2 linked regions of the Saccharomyces cerevisiae S288C genome follow. The gene in region 2 interacts genetically with the main gene of each other region. Each region holds a gene or a part of one and is shown on either strand. Other genes may lie near its edges.

What was found.
Region 1: mutations in YPL034W (region 2) and ESC1 together harm fitness more than expected from each alone (negative genetic interaction), as found in Saccharomyces cerevisiae (2 studies listed by BioGRID).

The regions. Positions count from the first base shown.
Region 1 is NC_001145.3:705,464-714,317, reverse strand, and holds ESC1 (Esc1p), read right to left. Parts: upstream 7,186-8,854; coding exon 2,209-7,185; downstream 1-2,208. Other genes in the region: FMP42 (Fmp42p), read left to right, coding at 1-387; ERG8 (phosphomevalonate kinase), read right to left, coding at 647-2,002; transport protein particle complex II subunit TRS130, read left to right, coding at 7,431-8,854. UniProt on the Saccharomyces cerevisiae protein: Involved in the clustering of telomeres at the nuclear periphery, forming discrete subcompartments that accumulate a complex of histone-binding silencing factors like SIR4. Required for SIR4-mediated anchoring and partitioning of plasmids.
Region 2 is NC_001148.4:479,283-489,803, reverse strand, and holds YPL034W (uncharacterized protein), read right to left. Parts: upstream 3,093-10,521; coding exon 2,595-3,092; downstream 1-2,594. Other genes in the region: SVL3 (Svl3p), read left to right, coding at 1-917; SRL4 (Srl4p), read left to right, coding at 1,597-2,442; H(+)-exporting P2-type ATPase PMA2, read right to left, coding at 4,118-6,961; EGD1 (Egd1p), read left to right, coding at 7,903-8,376; MET31 (Met31p), read right to left, coding at 8,736-9,269; YPL038W-A (uncharacterized protein), read right to left, coding at 9,431-9,622; YPL039W (uncharacterized protein), read right to left, coding at 9,629-10,521.

The sequences.
Region 1 (8,854 bases), on a different chromosome or scaffold from region 2:
TTGTTCACCACTTCTACCGCTATAGGTGTTTTTGGCTTGATTCCAAATTCATTCACTTGGAACTTAATAGGTATAGTACTTCTGGTAGTGTACAGACCATTTTATTACACAGTTGTTTCTGATTATTCTTCAAAAGTTTTTGGATTTGACACATTTGGTACTGTTTATGGGTTATTGTCCTGCATTTGTGGTATTTTCAACATGAGTCAAAACTTACTGGACAAATGGACACATACTACTTTCAACATGAATCCATTCCCAATAAACCTTACACTGGTAATCCTCACAGTCGTTTTTTCACTAACTTTAACATTTTACATACGATCTCAGATTTTGCCCAAGCCCGTGAATGAAAGAGGATTGTCCTCCAACTACCAAACTATCTGAGTGCACACTTTCAAGCTAACACGCACTTTATTTATATTTAAATGACATAAAGTTATATATCTAGAAAGTTTATTTATCGTTCTCAGTACCATCCTCATCCTAGTATGTATAGCTTGTACCCATTAAAAGAATTTTATCATGCCGCCGAAAGGAACAATTTCAAGTACTATCGGAAGATGAATGGTTAGATGTTAAGCGCTGTCACTTCAAACTTCACATTTATAAAGATGTCACATGGACCACTATTATCTACCTTAAGTTATTTATCAAGATAAGTTTCCGGATCTTTTTCTTTCCTAACACCCCAGTCAGCCTGAGTTACATCCAGCCATTGAACCTTAGAAAATCTTTTGTCATTAGCGGTTTGAGCCCTAAGATCAACATCTTGCTTAGTAATCACTGCAATGGCGTCATAACCACCAGCACCAGGTATTAAGCAAGTAAGAACTCCTTTTAAGGTCTGGCAATCATCCAATAAGCTAGTTTGTACGGGAGGTTCGATATCGGCACCAGATTCTTTAGTTATTTTTCTAAAGGAACGTCTAATTGTGGCAACTGCATCTCTAACTTCTGTGATTTCAGGATACTTTTGACAGGTACAGTCATTCCTCTCAAGAGACTCAAATATCTGATCGCTGTAATCGTCATGAGTCTCGTGTAAGCGATCTAGTTTAGATAGTCCATCCATAAATCTAGAATTTGCATGATCGAGTTCTGTATATATTTTCAAGCTTTCTGGCATATGCGAATCATACCAATTTTTTACCTTCTGGACCAGTTTTACTGTTTCTGAACCATTCTTAATATCGCCCATCCATAAAGTTAATCCCGAAGGTAAATGGTTACTTTTAATCGTAATATTCCAGTCTTCTTCATCAACCAAATGCGCCAGTTTACTGCCGTAAGTAGCACTTCCAATATCTGGCAAATTAGAGATTAATGCGGGTGGGAATCTTCTATATCTGATAGATCCATATGCTGCCGCCGCTACATCAAACCCGCTTCCAATTTTACCCTGAGCTTGACAATGAGCAACTTGTGCTAAATTATGAATAACTTCTCTATATTTGTCTACATTATTTTCCAGGTCCGATACAAAAAAGGAGGCCAAAGCTGTAGTTAAAACTGTGACTAAACCTGCCGAGGAGCCCAGCCCTGTTTTGGGAACTTCTTCAATTCTGTGCGAATGAAAACTCAATCTTCTGTTGCCACGATGTTCGGTAACGCTATCCTCCTGAGAATGGTAGGCATCATCAGAGAAAATATCAATAACGAACAAGTTTCTATTGCAGTAGTCGTCCATGTTAGGTTTAAAGTAGCTAAATACGTTAGCGATAACTTTTTCAATGAAAGGGTTCTTAGATCCGCCTATCGAAACAGGAATGAAGCCACTTTTAGGACTTATATGGTACAGCCACTCCCCATCTTTAAATTGTTTACTTTTCACACGCACTTCAAACTTATCAGACCCTTGCAATGAACCGTAAGGATGGGCTACAGCATGCATTCTTGCCGATAATCCGACTACAAATGCTTCATATTTTGTATCTAAAACTAAATATCCACCAGCTAGTAACGCTTTCCCTGGGGCACTGAAGGCTCTCAACTCTGACATTTCTCGAGGCAGCCGATTGATTTATTATGAGGCCTTCCAAGATGTTTTTTCACCTTTTTTGTTTTTCCATTCTTTATATAATCTTTCTTTCCATTCGACATGACGTTAACTCCGCCTTAAAACCGAACTTTTTTCCTTTTAGATCTCGTATAGAAAAACGCATCGCAATAATTATTACTATCTACATATTCCTGTATACAATTTGATTATTTGTCAACACTTGGATGCGTATTCTGTCCACGGCTTTTTGGCTCGTGCCCCCTACGCCTTTTAGTATTTGATGCGGCAGAACTGCCTTCTGTGATTTTTCTTTTCCGTCTTCTGCTGTTGTAGTTTCTTTTACGGCTTTTCTTTTTTGCTTTAGTTTTGTCCTTTTCGCGGTTTGTTTCCTCATCATTATTATTTTCTGGAGAACTTTTATCATTGATTAGTTCCATACTTGGTTTCTGTTCTTCAAGTACAGATTTTGAAGGCATTTCCTCCTGTTCTTCTTTAACTTCTACTTTAACAGGTATATCCACTGCTTGATGTTCGGGCTCCTCACCTTCATTTACTTTGATGTTAATGGAATTATCGTGTGGCTCATTATCAACATCGTGGCTAGATAAATGTTCTGATCTATCATCCAAAACGGATGTTACATTGGTTTTATCGTGTTTCTCAAGCGTGGTGGCGGGAATTTCATCATTAATTTCCATAGGGACTTCATTTGGCGTGTCTGAGAATATTTCATACACTTCCGGTGATGTTGGCGCACTCTTTTCAGCGGTAATATTTTCCGAATTTGAATAGGGATAAGAATCTGTCACTTCTTCCTTATCAGACGGAGGATCAGATGGAAGATCTGTGGACGGTATATTTCCGCGTTGCCTTTCATCATCATTCATTTTACTAGAAGCTGCTGTCTCTGTAGGGCCCTCTATTTCCAATTCGTACAACTCAGCTTCTTCTGGCTCTGAATTTAGTTCTTCTATTGACCTCTCCTGATTGTTTGATAGGTCCAGGTCTTCTTCATGTTCGGGGTGTTGAATGCTAATATCTAACTCCGAAAAAGTGTCTTCTTCAATTGCTCCAGCATATTTCTCATTAACGGACTTTTCAAACGTGAGATCCCGTTCACGGCTTGTATTAACTTCGTCTGATTCTTCTTGATTTTTTCCTCTCCTGGAATCTTCAATGAGCCTCTGAGAATAATTCTCTAGGTCACTTAGATTCTTTAGGAGTTGTTGTCTCTTAATATCATCGGGGGCATTACTGTGAATATTTGCTGATGTTATATCTCCATATATGGTATCAAATTCTTCTTCATTCTCGCTGTGGTCTTTCTTTTCGAAATGTTGCTCGGATTGTAAACCTTCAACTAGCGGCTCTTCCGACTTATGCAAATTTTCCTTGTCCTTTACTTGCTGTCGAAACACTTCGGAGTCCTCTTCATAAGCACCGTTTGTCGTGGGATCGATGTTTATCACACGAGAATTATTACCATTGTCATTATGTGCTTCTGCGGTAACTCCTCCGAGTATGACAGCTTCATCTTCATCGCTGTCTCTCTCTTTGCTACTTACACTTTTCATATTAACAGATGCATCGGTAGAATTCGACTTGTTAAAAATGTCTTGATTATAATCACCAATATCAACGTTATCATCACTCTCAGAATCCATAACATCAATTTTTTTCACGAATGATTCAGCTACGTCGACTACCTTACCCACTCCCTTAACTACAGCTCCAATAACACGAATTGGGGATGAAAAAATATTTGATCGATCAGATTCTGGCTTCAATGGTTCCACAGACTCAATTTCCGAACTGGACACCCGAATGTCCAAATTATGTTTTGCAGATCCCTCAACATTTTTTTCAGCTGTGGAGTCTTGGTCTCGGTCTGAATCAGAGCAAGCTTGGCTAACCTGATCATGCATATTGGTATTATTTTCCAGGGCTTTTGTGTTTTCAATGGTAGTTGCTCTTCTTTCAAAGAGCACTTCGTTGTGCGTTTTTTCCACGCACGACCTTTCTGGGATCTCCATATTATTTCCAATCGCATTCTCATCTATTCTTTCGATAATGGAAATGTGTGCTTCCTCCGTATCTGTATTCTGGATATAGTATTTTCTTTCACCAGCTTCGTAATTCGCTTGCGCCTCTTGATTGATGACGTCGGTGTGCATGTCTTTGTTCTGAACATTTACGGATGAACTGACATTGGCTTCGAAAAGTGTTTCTTCTTCGTGCACCTTATTAACTTTTTCATTTTCTGGTTCTACTATTCCGAGAGTATCCTTTTTTGTACCTTTAACTATATTTTCATTACTGCCTTCATCATTGCCTGGTTCTGGATCCGCATAATCTTGTTCATATGAATCCTCACTTTCCTCTTCATCAAGCTTATCAACTACTTCAGCTTTTGTAAGTTCCTTCTTGAGTGATTCGTCGTCTTCAAGATCACTATTTCTTACTTTATATTTAGTAGAAGAGAATTCAGTGTTGTCGTTGCTTTCTTGAAAATTGTCTGGCGAATCTGTTGAAAACGAAATTTGAGTTTTACTACCATCATCATTCTGTTTTACGCATTCATCGCCAGAAGACATCTCAGCTTCGTTCATATCCTTTTCACAGTATCTTAAATTTTCTTCTACATTTGAAGCCGTTTCAATTATGTCCTCGCAGGAAGAGTCTCCTGTAACGTTGGTATAATTAATCGCTGAAAAGTACTTTTCATCCGTGTTATCTTCAGTTGACTTGTCAGTACTGTTAGCCACGCCTGGAAAATTTTTACTTTGATTTTTATTTTCATCACCTGTATTTTCATTTTCAAAAGTAACGTTTTCCGTAGATTCATCCAAATCGCTCACCTGTTTAGTTTCCTTACTTGTGTGAAAAATGTTTGTGTGCCCAGATGTAGATGTCAAGCATGATTTCGTCACTCCAGCTTCCACAAATTCTGCATCCTTTTTGGTGAAAGCTGGGGCAAGGGCTGCTAACGTTGATTTCAGTAGGTCATGCTTCTTTTCGTAATCATCGTTCAACGAATTGAATGGGTCATTCATAAATGGTGAAGTGTACTCCACTTGCGGTGGCATGGCAACTGTGTTATCTTCGTAAGAAGTAGAACTATACACAGATTCAGAAATTACTACTTCATATTTCGGAGTTGTTTTGATTTCCATAAGAGGAACATCGGTAAGATTCTCTGATATAGCATCAGCGTCATCGAGTGAATAATAGATACTGTCTTCATTTCCTAATGATGAATTGTTAATCGTAGTATCTGTGGATAGTGGTACCAGTTCTTTTTCTGTAGAACCGTCCAGTTTCTTTTCAGAAACTTTTTCAACCTCTATTTCAACAGAAGATGAAAGATCACCTCGGTCTGTTTTTAAATTATTATTGTTTTCACCTGTGAAGTCCTTTAGGGGTATTTGCTCTTCGGATTCGTCTAAAGACCTGCCCGATAAGTTGCTTCCATTTGAGTGCCCTAAATAAGATTCGGATACCTGCTCCTCTTTTTGAGGGCAGTTCGAATTTCTACTTTGTTGGAATTGAAGCATAGCCCTTGCGGCGAGATCATACAAATTATCAGGGGAATGCTCGTGCAAATCACTTTCGACACTTTTTCCTGTTACGTCATAACCTTCAACATCGTTAATTTGATTTTCTCTTTCTACTATAGCAGGATCAGTTTCATTCTCCAAAACATTTTCCGAGTATTCACTTTTGTTGTTGTTTCCGTGAAAATTTTTGTCTAGAGAGCTTCTGATAATGTCATCTTTTTCAGGTTCTTCGTCATTTTCCTGTTGTTCCACTTTGTTCTTAGTATAAGCATCTTTAGCGAAACCTTGGTCTCTGCTTTCGCTGGTATTCTCAGTTTCTTCTGACGTGCTTTTTTCGTTTTTCATTTTATATTCAAAATCATCTTCACTTCCTTGTTCGCTTTCTTGTGCACTTTGGGATTCACTATCTGAAGATTCTATATCTTCTATTAGTTCCTTATCATCCAGTTCATGTTCATTATGGTGGTACACATTTTCAGCATTTGCTGAGTAACTTTCAGCTTGACTTTCTTCATCCTCGGACTCATCGTCAACTGAAATATTTACTGAACCGAAATCAAATGCACCGTCTTCTGAATATCTTTGATGGACTTTGTGCTCATCAGATTCATATTTTTCGATAACGGGGATCTTAGTATTATCTGTTCTAGGCTGCATGTATTTTGAAAAATCTACCGAATGTTCTGTTCCTTCTGCACCCTGACTTTCATCTTTTTCAGCATCGCTTTCCACATCAATGTCGTCTTCTAATTCCATTTCTACTCCCTCTGAATAATTCTGTCCTTCACTGGAATCAGAAGAACTAATTTGTGTAGCATTCTCTACATTTGCCTGTTCTTGCCCTATATTCTTTCTCTCAACTTGCCCCTCCTCTTCGGCATATTCATCATTCGATACATCTTGTAGTGCTCCTTCCTCTGCATATTCTTCATCTGATAATATCATTATTGAAGGACTACTTTGGCCGTCACTATTCTTTTCTTCTTCAGAGAGCTCGTATTCATCATTTTCAAGATCGAAATCTTTGATTAAAGATTGTTTACCTTCCAGATCTTCATCCTTATCGGAGTCGATATTTGAGGACGACTCGTCCTCAGCGTCCGGTAAGGGAGAACTTATGAAACTATCTAAGGGAATTTCATCATTATTTTGGAAAGAAGTATCCGTTCCGTATTGGCTCTTCCTGAGATCGATTAGTCGCTGATGAGATTTACTGTTTCCTGTGTACTTGTTCATTAAAGAGTCATGAAGCTGAAAACGTTGTCTTTCCTCCTCAAGACTACGCTCAAACAAGGCATCTTCCTTTTCTAGTGTAGTAAGTATACTTTTCCCCCTATTAATTAGAGAATCTACCCAGCTTAATGCCCTCGCACTATCTTCATGAAGGGATTTATTATGAATATGACTGCTTCGCCTGGAGGAAATAGATTCATGTAAAGTCGAGTGCTGAGTAGGCTTTGCTACTCTGTATTTATCATTGTGGACCCTTGAGTACCCATGTTGATCTTTCATTTTGGAATCCTCGTCCGCGTCAAGGAGAGATGACAGTATTTTCAGTTTTCTTCTTGGGGTCGTCAGTTTAAGTTTATTTGCCCTTGGAGTAAAGGTTTCTTTTTTTTTTGACATATTTTCACAGTATAGATTTATTGGTTCTTGTACTTAACCCCTTGGTGAATTTACAACGTGTTCAATATACTTGTCAATAGGACTAAAGACTTTCTCGCATTTTAAATTCCTTTGTTTTCACTTCTTAAGAACAGCTCGCGGAACATGAAAATGGTGAAAAGTGCAAGTTAGAAGTTTTGAAAGAAAGTGAGCATAAAAGCAATAAAAATAGCCAGTGAACTTGCTTTTACATGCTAATATAGTAGATGGATAAAGAAATATATTGTGGATCGGTTCCTGTCAGCTATTTTGACCCGTTTGATTTATTTGAGAGTCTGAGGCCAGAGTTTCAGCAGATTTTACCGTTAGACAATATACATTGGAAGGCATTTGACGGAACTGTACGAACGGTTAACAGGCTTCCAATTGAATTGATTCCAGAAGGTAGAGGGGAGGCAGACAAGTCTAATGATGAACAGCCGTTTATCAGATTTTTGATAGTGAACTGTATCTCTATCGACCAATACAGGGCCAAAGTACGGCCTCTTGTGAGACAGTGGCTACCAAATCTGGAATCTGTATCTTCATCGACAGGAGAAAAAATGATTTATAAACCAATTATTTTACTGTATGCCAATTCTGAAGTAGTGGACTCTAACCTATTCAAATCGGTATCCCTAATGGAGAAATTTGGCAAAGACTTTCCGCATGTACAAACTTTGGAAGTTCGATCGGTTTATAGATCTCCCAAAGAAAGGCAGGAGTTTTGGAACCAATTTAGCCAAAAGATTAAGGCTTCCGTACTGAGCATCTTTCAAAAACGATTGACACATTTGCAACATTCGTTGGCCAATTTACAAAAAGGAAATAACTTTGAGGAACAGCTTTTGACAAGAGAAAAATTGTACGAGTTATATGTGGTATTCAATATTTTGGAAGATGCCAGCCTGGAATTGCAAAAAATCAAAAAAGAAATACTCCGTAGAAACATGAATATGCCGGATGGAAAACTTCAGGTACCTTTTGAATCATCTTCTAAATCAGATGAATCACTGGGCTCCATAATAATAGAAGGTACACTCGATAAGTTTCAATTGCATAAGTATTTTTTCATTAGAAGGTTAAGACTTCTAAAACTAGAGGACCAGACGTTGACCGCCTTTGTAGGAGCATTTCAACTAATCAAGAATTTTATTGAATCCATATCAATAGAGTATAGAAAGTCTGTGAGATTATTGGAATTTAAGCACTATTTTATAACTTCGATGCTGTCATATTTTGAATTTGAGAATGTCTCAAATCCTCTCTTGTGTGAAATCAAAGCTGAGTTATTAATGTTGAAGCGCGACAACTGGGTGCAAGGTGTTATGGCTACAAGTGGTTATAGACTAATGGACAAAAACTACCCTAATAGTGACGTTAAATACAAATTTGATCTATTAAAAGAAACTTTTGTCGATGAAACTGTCTTCCAAGAAAACTTCCTTACTCTCACCAAAGAAATTCTTTCTCTCTTCAACAAATGTGAAGGGAAGCGTCAAAGGATAGTAGATATTTTATCCATTGAGATAGGTTTGCTTTACTATCAGGGAAAGAAATATGAGGAGGCAGTCTCGCTTTTCCTTTCCTGTTACGAATATTATACTCAAACGAACTGGAATAGCATTGGTTTGAAAATATTGCAAGTTTT
Region 2 (10,521 bases):
AGCTACAAGAACGTGAACTGGAGTTCCAGAAAAGAGCATTACAGCAACAAAGATTTAATAATAGCAATAATTCAATTCCAAGAAAGCCTTCCTTCCCTCAATTACAGCAGTCTGCAAACGTTCGTTCTAACAGCAGAGGAATGCATGGCACCAATGGCGCTATGTCTCAACCTGCATCCGCCGGAAATTTTGTAGACCCAATTTCTTCAAGTATCGCTGCATATGACCCGCAACAACCTCCTTCCTTACCCCTACAGCAGCCACAACAATCGGTACAAGTACAACCTTTTCACTCACACTCTATCAAGCCCACAAGTAGGAAGAATAGAAATAGTAATATGCCTAATATTGGTAATCCTTCCAGTATAAATATGAGTGATTTTGGCAGACCACCGAACAATTCAAGTCAAACTCGCTTAAATTCCATGCCAACGCATAGCATCGTAAACCAGAATAGATTGAGATCACAACAATCGAAAAACAAACTGAATATGCCACATGCCACCAACCCAAACAATACTTTTAACCAAGTCCCTGCTCCTAGTTTAAACAATCACGTTCCCACACAAAGGCAATTTAGCTCCAGTACCATGATAGAAGTTACAAATAATAACAACAAAGTTAATAACAGTAGTAGCAACCCTGATATTTCCACCAACTCGGTAGTTCATAACGCAATGCAATTTACAAATACAAACAACAATACAAGTAGCACTGTGGATATAAACGATCCCAAAAATATTGCACCCCCTCCTACAACCTCTGTTTCAGCCCCAAGCACTCCAACCTTGTCCTCATCAAGTCAAATGGCGAATATGGCTTCGCCTAGTACCGATAATGGTGACAATGAGGAGAAAAATGGTGGTAAGAAGAAGAGATTTGGCCTATTCAAAAAAAAAAATAAATCAAAGAAATAATATCCTTCGACAGCTTAATGAACACGCATGTAAATGTTTTGTAAACAGTTTGTTTTTTCGTTTTTGTATCTGTTAATTTTCTATTATTTATTTTTTTAGTTTTTTTTTGCGGTAGAATTGGGTTATCACTGAATCTATTTTATTTTTTGGGTTGGTTTCTCCCTGTTTTCAGTTTGTTTGAATTGGTGTTTAACAAAATCTGGAATTATTCACTATAATTATTTCCTCTTTTTAGTTTGACCAAATAAACTCAACTATCTTGTGTTATTTCTTTGTATTATAGCTTTACACATATTTAACTATCCATACCTTTTACTTTTTGTATATACTGTTAATTTCATAAAACACGTTTTAGTACCAGAAAATCGTGTCATAGCACCGTTTTAGCAGTGATTTTTAAAATTGTCCAAGGTGCCAATAAATACTGGTGGGAACAACATTTTAATTAGAATAGCTAAAACCTTCTAAGAAAACTATCCCAGCGTAGAAAGAAAGAAATCTCTATCAGCCGCGCAAGTGCAGTATCTCTTATTTTTGCACGGCCCCGTCGCTATATTGTCACACGCATTTGAATTAGTGACTCAATAATAATACAGATTTGTGACGTATAAAGAAACCACAGAAAAACTGCGTATGTCCGAAGCACAGGTCCACTAGTAATAGAGCCCAAAAATCTGACATGAAGAAAACAATTTACAAAGTCCTCGTAAGTTTTTATCAATATGTCGGTTTAGGTAAAAAGTTCCATCCTAGCCACGATACAGTATTAATTATTGGCGGTTCTTCAAATGAGTTAGGCATCGAGCTCTGCGAGACATTTATAGAAGATTATCATACAAAGGTTATAAATATTGACACTATAGACAGTATTAATGGAAAAAACGCAAGGAGAAGTGAAAAACTGTATACTTTTATTTCTTGCAAAGATTTCAGTGACATAAAATGTCTTGAGGAATCCATGCTTTACCTTCAAAATTTAGAAATAATTCCTACAGTGCTCATTAACAACATGCAGGAGGGAATCGAATCGACTCTTCTCAAAGAAGACAAATTTTTGAGACTTGATGAAGAGTCTTTAAATGAATTCGAGAAAATCGTGAGGTATAATTTACAAAGTGTAATATTGATAACTAAGTTCTGCTTGAGTAACATTTTTCCAAAGGTTCAAGCTGAAGCTCAAGAAAAAGCAAAGGGGTTCTATATTGTCAACATATCATCGGTATTGACGTTAAAACCGTGCAAATCAGGAACACATTTTATTACATCGAAATGTGGTATAAACTCTTTCCACGATGGAATAACCTCAGAGCTTAAATTGAAAGATAGTAATTTGAATGTAAAAACGCTGATTGCATATTTACCCAGTTTTGAAAGTGAAGCACATTGGAAGAGACTTTCCCCGAGTATCTCGAAACATCTCGTCCACTGTCTACTTGAGGGAAGATATGGTGATACAATTCTCGAAAGCAAAAGATCAATTGGTGATATTCTTTTGATAACTGGTTTCAAAAGCTCTTTTACTTAAGGGTACTACAAATCGAAGTAACAGTGATAAAATTGCTAAGCACATATATTTCTATAAATAATTCAAGGAAAAGAAAGGTAACACTACAATTTTTATGATGATAAATAATTTGAATAAACCGGCCAGAATAGGCCAAAAAATTTTTTTTAAGTCTAACGAGATTCTCCTCCAAGGCAATAAGAATCAATAAGTCTTAGTACTGATGGTAGCTCCAATACAGGCACATTGAACCACTCTGTATGCCTCTTTTTTCCAGTTGGATCACACCCATAACAGTAAACCAATCCTTTCCCGTATTTCTTCCATAAAAATTTATGAATAGCGCTTTCGATATCTGGTAGTTTCATTGAACCTTTTCCGCTAATGAAAAATCCACCATCTTTATAAGTGCGTAGGGTTGGCACCTTAGGATCTGGAAGGGAAGGCTTGTGTGAGTGACTTTTATCTTTGATGAAAAGTTTCTCCATTTTTTTTTGTAAGCTTGATAATGAAATGGGCAATAGCCTGTTTGAACTGATATTTTTGCTTTCACTTTTCAATTTCAAGTGGTATAATTTATCGACTTTCTCTGGAGTCAAGTTTATCACTGGATGCTTGCATGTGGTTTGCCATTCTAAAAGTCTTGAATCTACTGTTTTTCGAGTGGTCATTCCTATCTTACATAGAATAAAGTCTCTGTCTACCCATTGTCTCTTCTTTTTACCATTAGTCCGAACTATTGACTCATCAATAAATAGCCATTTTAAATCTACCGTCTTTTCAGATATGTATGATTCAAAGAGGTTACTGTATGTATAGATGTAAATAAAACCCGGTTTATTTTGCGCATTATCTCTTGGTGCCCGTGTGTACCTTGCATCTTGCCACTGATGATAATGACAGTACTTTTTATCCGACGGTATGTTTATCTTGCACCGCTCTCCCTTTTTTGTTATGCCTAAGACATCTCATAATAGATTTAGCTTTGATGAGCACTTTTCTGATATAGTCTTATCTATGATGGGAAACAATTCTTTATTTCTCTTGACATTTGATTTCTTATGGTGTTGGACTTCTCGCGGGAGAGGCGCACATACACGACTACATGATAATAACATTATTAGAAAAATATATCAACATAAAAGAAGAAACTGATATAATACGTGCAATGTGCTTGTATGTAAATAAGTGTGCATTATATGTTTATTAAAAATTAAGAATTAGATTGATTTAATGTTTCGAAAAAAAAAATATTTAGTCATTTCACCATGTTGGATGGGAATTCGTGTGTTGTTATTGGAATGATTCTTCCTTTTTGGAGAGGAAAATAGTCAAAAGAACACGAAATAATATGAAAAAAATTTTCCATATGAATTTGCATCCAATCAAGCAAAAGATCGGCCTACTTCTGATATGTGGATATGTTTGTTTGTGTGTGTGTGTGTGTGTGTGTGTGATAAAATTGACAGATATGATGCCACTTAGTCTAAAAACTTGTGTGTAAACTTTAAAACTGTAACATCATATCGAAGGTATCAAACAGAGCACAATTGAAGAGGCATTAATTTGATTTTTGTTGACCGTGTTCTTTTATAACGTCTTGGCTTCCTTGGTATCGACAAATTGAAATGAAAATGAGGAATAACAAAAAGGAGATCAATAAGAAAAAAAATCAGATGGATGATGTTTAAAATTACTAACTGCTTTTTTCGTGTTGAGTAGAAACTCTTTGCATAGCAGCCATGAAATCTTCGACACTTCTTGTAGACTTCTTTTCCTTTAATGACTTACCATTCATCAACCTATCAAAGGCTTGAGACGTGGACATAATATAGTAAAATCCTCCCAATACACAAAAAATACCAATGGACCAAATCCAGACACGAACGACTGACACAATATCAGTCCAGTTTTCAGACCACCAGCCAAATAAGGTAAACATGGTAGCAATAATATCAACGGCGAAAACGGCACCGGCTAACTGCCACGATGGAATGGAAGACCAGAATGGGCCAGCAGCTCTAGTGACAAAAATTAACCAATTTTCAGTTAGTGAAATCTGCAGGAACATGACACCATTCATGGCACCAAAATTTTGGATAATACCACCATTAGGCAAGAACATGGTGGTTAAAGTAATCCAAGAACCTATAGCTAAAACTATGCCCAAAATAATAGACATACCCCATAATCTTGGTAGGTTCCATTTCACAGGTTCAGGAGCATAAGGAGCATTGTCATAAGCAATAGTTAAAGTGGCAACGTCTGCGAAAATAGCAATAAAAACGATCAAATTGATATCCAAAGAGTTGTTTAAAATAGCAATCCATAAACCCAGGAAAATCTCCAAATGTAAGGATAGGGCAATACGATAAACAACATAGGAGTACATTCTGTGGAAAATCTGTCTAGAAGTCTTTAAGGCATCAATAATAGCAGAGAGACCAGGGGCCAAGAAAACAATATCAGCGGCTGATCTGGCAGCATCGGTAGCACCTTCGACAGCAATACCAGTATCAGCCTTCTTCAAAGATGGGGCATCGTTAACACCATCACCAGTCATAGCAACCAAGTAACCTCTGTTTTGCAAGATTTCAACGACTCTGTATTTATGCTGTGGGAAAACTTCTGCGAAACCATCGGCATTTTCAACAAAATCAGCCAACTCTGAACCAGGCATATCACCTCCACCTCCCAGACCTAACCTTTCTGCGTTATAAATGTTTGTACCAAGTCCTAATTGCCTACACGTTTCTTTCGCGATACCAACAGCGTCACCGGTTAACATCTTGATTCTCAAACCAAGGTTTCTGGCCTCATTGATTGTTTGAGCGGTGTCATCTCTAGGGGGGTCCATACATGGCATAACACCCAAGATTTCCCAGTGACCTTCCCCTCTCTTTCTAGCAACACCTAAAGCACGGAAACCTCTAGAAGCTAGTTCAGCAACCTTATTTTCGTAGTTTTCATGCACATCTTCCGGAATTGGGTGATCTTCTTCAACAGTCTTCAAGACAAACAATGGGGCTCCCTTGACACAAACAATTCTTTCACCTTCTGGGGATTCTACAACAGCGGTAACCTTTTTTGAGACAGGGTCGAACGGATGGAATTCCAAAACTTTGTACTTGGTCAGGGCGTCTTTAGCTTTTGGATACTCAATCAATGACTTCAAAAAAGCCTTATCAATAGCATCCAAACCTTTCTTCTTTCTAGAGGCAGCTAAACAAGCGGTCAACATCAAGTCGTCCGGAGAAACGCCTTCGACAGTGTAGGGTTCGTGTAAAGATAACTTGTTTTTGGTTAAAGTACCAGTCTTGTCAGAACATAAAATCTCAACACCAGCAAGGGATTCAATAGCAGATAACTTTTGAACAATGGCTTGCTTCTTAGCCAAGTAAGCTGCACCGACAGCCATGGTCGTGGTAACAACTGCTGGCAAACCGACTGGGACACCAATGATGGTTATACCCAAAGTATATCTCAAAATGCTTACAATACCGACCGTTCTATAGAAACATGCGGTCCAGACCAACAACAAAGTAGCGATAACTAGAACAAGTAAGATAATACCAATTCCATTCAATACTTCAGTGAAATGGCCCTCTACACCGGAAGCCTGCCCCACTAAGGCGGCAGCCCTACCGACGAAGGTATTGTCACCAGTGGCAGTAACAACCATAAAAGCCTCGCCGGTTTTCACAGTGGATGAGGAGAACACCTCATCACCGTAATGCTTTTCAGCGGCTAAGGATTCACCAGTGATGGCCGATTGATCGATCTGCAAAAAACAGTCTTCAGTGACAATACGACCATCTGCGGGAGCAATTGTGCCACTTTCCAATTGCAAAATCTCACCAGGAACTACCTCATTAGCCGGAATTTCGATCAATTGGCCATCTCTAATAACTGTTGCAGTATTGGCCAACGTCTTTTTCAGCTCGTCTACGATGGAACCTGCCTGGAATTCTTGAATAAATCCGACAGATGCGTTTAATAGCAGTAAAGCACAGATGACACCGACATCAACCCAATCAGACAAACCGGCAGCCAAAATAGCAGCAGCCTCCATAACGAATTGAATAGGCCCTACGAAGAACATCAAAAACTTCACAATCAACGATTCATTCTCCTCAGCCATTTGATTTAACCCATATTTCTTTCTTCTCCTGGCGACTTCATCCGAAGTCAAACCATACGCAGGGTCCGTAGAAAGGTCCTTTTCAGGAACAACCCTTTGGCCAGCGTGCACCCCATCAGTACGTACTTCTTCTTCACCAGATTCATCACCCTCACCGTAGTTAGATTGTAGTTCATCAATCAATTGGTCTATATCTTCATCTGAGTCAGAATCATCAGCGGCAGAAGCGGCTGCGGCCTTCCGTGGAACGGCTGCAGCCGATGACGAGGCGGAAGTTGATGTAGAAGACGAAGATGACGAAGAAGCGGCAGAATTATTTGCAGGGTCATCGCCATCACTGGCATGGAGGTACTCTTTCGAGGGTTTCTCCTTGTATTGCTTTGCTTCAGTGGAAGACATAACGCAAAACAGTTTCCTTTTGCTTAAATTGTACTAGCACACAGCAACGAAAAATGAAAAAAAAAAAGTTATGGGTATGTTTAAAAAAGCCCAGTAGCTTGGATACAGTAGGTTATCCAGCAAGAAATGCTGGAAGAAATAATAGATGGTAAAAGAGGATATTACACACCTTTATATAACGAAGTACCATCACACCGCCAATTACGTTTAGGGGACGCCGACAAGAAGTAAATTCACTATTATGTACTTACAAATATGTTTCCACCGATAACCTTTCCCCCTTCGACGGTTATTTGAGCAGCGTCTGTCCGCCATTTTTCCAGAGAAGCTACTTCATCAATCAATTGACTTCGCAATTCCCTTAAACAAAAAAAATTTCTTTTGCCCTCCCTCGACGATTTTGGAGTAGAGAATACCTTAGGCCTTTTTTTTTCTTTTTTCTCACGGCTGCTCTTCCTCTTTTTCGCATATTCTATTTTATCATCGACTTCCCTAATTCGCACTCGTACCAAAATGTTAAGCAGTATGGCGAAGAACGTGGCGCGCTGGAGTCGTGAATGTTTGGGTCCTTGATGATGGACTACGGTAGTAAGTATGTAGTAGTTGCAACTTCATATGTTCACTTCTGATCCAAGGAAGAGCGGTTATGAATTAATCTCTTGGCATGAGCGGACGGGTAAGGGGACACCGCCTTTTCTTCGATGGGAATCAGGGTAATGGTATATGATGGATTATTGTGGAATCATTTAGTACGGCAGATGTTGAAAAAAAAAGCAGAAAATTTTTGAATTTTTTTCGTTGACATTGGAAGATTTCGTAGTGGAAACAGCTGCAATTGCTTGTTAAGTAGTAACCCCTCCTTTGTCACAAGAGAGCGAATATTCTTTCTAGGGAGGTTTAAGAATAGAACATCTCACACCAGACGCGACTCATAATTCATAATGCCAATTGACCAAGAAAAATTAGCTAAGCTACAAAAGTTGTCTGCTAACAACAAAGTTGGTGGTACTAGAAGAAAGCTTAACAAGAAGGCAGGCTCTTCTGCCGGTGCCAACAAGGATGACACCAAGTTGCAAAGTCAATTAGCTAAGTTGCACGCTGTCACCATTGACAACGTCGCCGAAGCCAACTTTTTCAAGGACGACGGTAAGGTCATGCACTTCAACAAGGTCGGTGTCCAAGTTGCTGCTCAACACAACACTTCTGTATTCTACGGTCTACCACAGGAAAAGAACTTGCAAGATTTGTTCCCAGGTATTATCTCTCAATTGGGCCCTGAAGCCATCCAAGCCTTGTCTCAATTGGCTGCCCAAATGGAAAAGCACGAAGCCAAGGCTCCAGCTGATGCTGAAAAGAAGGATGAAGCTATTCCAGAGTTAGTTGAAGGTCAAACTTTTGATGCTGACGTCGAATAAATAACTTAATCTTTAATTTTAACGTTAAATAAAAAAACACATATTTTGTTCCATTTTTTTTCATTTTTTTTAGCATATCTAAAGCATATAATACAAACACTGTTTTCTGCAAAAAAAAAAAAATAAAAAATAAAATATAAAAAAACAATATACCACACTATGCTGCACACGTGAAATGATGAACTTGTACGTCACCACTTTGTGCGCAAAAAATTGGCAAAAGTAGAGAACATGTCACTAACTGTATCGGAATATTACAACGTTTTTTTATTCTACTTATCTCAATGGCTAAAGTATATATCTATCTATATATGTATGTGTAGGTGTGCTGATGGAGACAAATACGTTTTCCTCTAGCCTTACAACAGGCCGGTACCATTCTTTATCGCATCCTTGATGAGCTCATCTACATCAACGTCTGAACCTTCACTTAGTTTCTTTCTGTTTCTTTGACAGGTCAGTGTGTTAGAATGTCTTTTTAGAGCATCCTTCCTGGCAAACCCTTTGCCACAGTTTGAGCAAATATGCGGCAGCACGAGTGAGTGTACCTTTTCATGTCTTCTCAGATCAGAACTTCTGCTGAATTTCAACTGACATTTCGCACAGCTGTAGAGCTGTGCGCCTTCCTTGCTATGGTTGTTACCTCCTGTTCTTTTTGTTTGTGTTTCTGGAATCCTTATAAGACCTCTAGCCATATTTTCCGGCTCCCCAGCCTTTAAAACATTTTCTGGTGCTGGTATAACTGCGCTCAATGGGCTGGATTGTCGAATTCTGTGGAGTAGCTCTCGTATTATGGGGTCCGTATGAGTGGGACTTGATGAGATTACCGCTATAGCTTCTGCCGCTTGTTTGAGAAATATTTCATCTACATTCATGTCTTGCGCCAGTTTCATATGCACATATAGACTATCGACTGTGTATATTGAGCCCAACTTGTTAATGATCAAATCTCTTTACGTACTGAGGAACGGCTTTTTCTTTTTCTTACCCATGTTATATTTTGCATTAGAACAAAAAAAAAATTGATGGGCTAGCAAAATTTTTAGACTAAAATTTAGAGGCAAGATATGGTTCTGTAAGACTCGAAAAAATTCTCATAATATATACTTGCTTGTGTGAAAGTGTTCTTTTGTTTTGTTTTTTTTTCTTGTGTATAATTATACATGTTTTTTTTGCCTTTTGTACTCAAGAAATCATAAATGGAAATAAAAATGACCCTTGAATGATGAACAAAACGACAAACCATACTTTATTAAACTATCCTAAAAGCTTCTTGTACTAACTTTTTACCCATTTTGTTAAACTCCTGTAATTCTGTCACCAAAACATATCCGTTACTTTGACCCGACCATTCACCAGAGTCACTTACTTGGGTGGGTTCGATCCCACACTCAATTAATGATCTAGAATGCAAACCATTTGGTGTGTCTGGGATAAACGTAGTTTGTCGATATGTATCGGCATCAGCCCCCATGCTATGCGTTTCTTCATGTTCCGACCGCCTATCTTGGCCTTCCCCATCGGAATGGCTATGAAGCGAGTATGCCCTTGTATGTACATGTAGATCATCAGCTGACCTATTGGTAGAGAAAAAAGGTGATGCTGATGAATTGGAGTTCATAAAAGAACTTCTGAGGAAGTACGAATGTTGTTCACGTCGAGATAACATTTGCCTGCGTTGTTGTCTACTCCGCCGAATAAGTACAGGCCTCACAATAGAACAACAATTTATCACTTCTTCCAGTGGCAAGCCTGTTATCTGGGAATAGAGATGATAGGTTTCATCCCTCGTGGTAATCCTGTCGCGGTCATCGCCTACAACATTTGGCACACTTAAGATGAAAGCAGCTACAAATAGTTTGTGTAAGCTGAACTTTAAAAACTTCATGTAGTTAGTTTCCTTCGAGCAGCAATCTAGAAACTTGATGACAATGCAACAGACCTTTTTGAACTGTAAATGCGATGATTTGGCTCTGTGTAGGATTATTTCTAAAAATTTGGTTGTTTTCAAATGATTTGTGCCAATAATTGCATTGTCATCATCACTAGGCATGGTAACTAATAGGCTCGCATACCGCTGCATAATCCCCTTAGTCACTTGCGCTATCATGAACTTTTTCAATACCACTTTTTGCTTTTTAAATG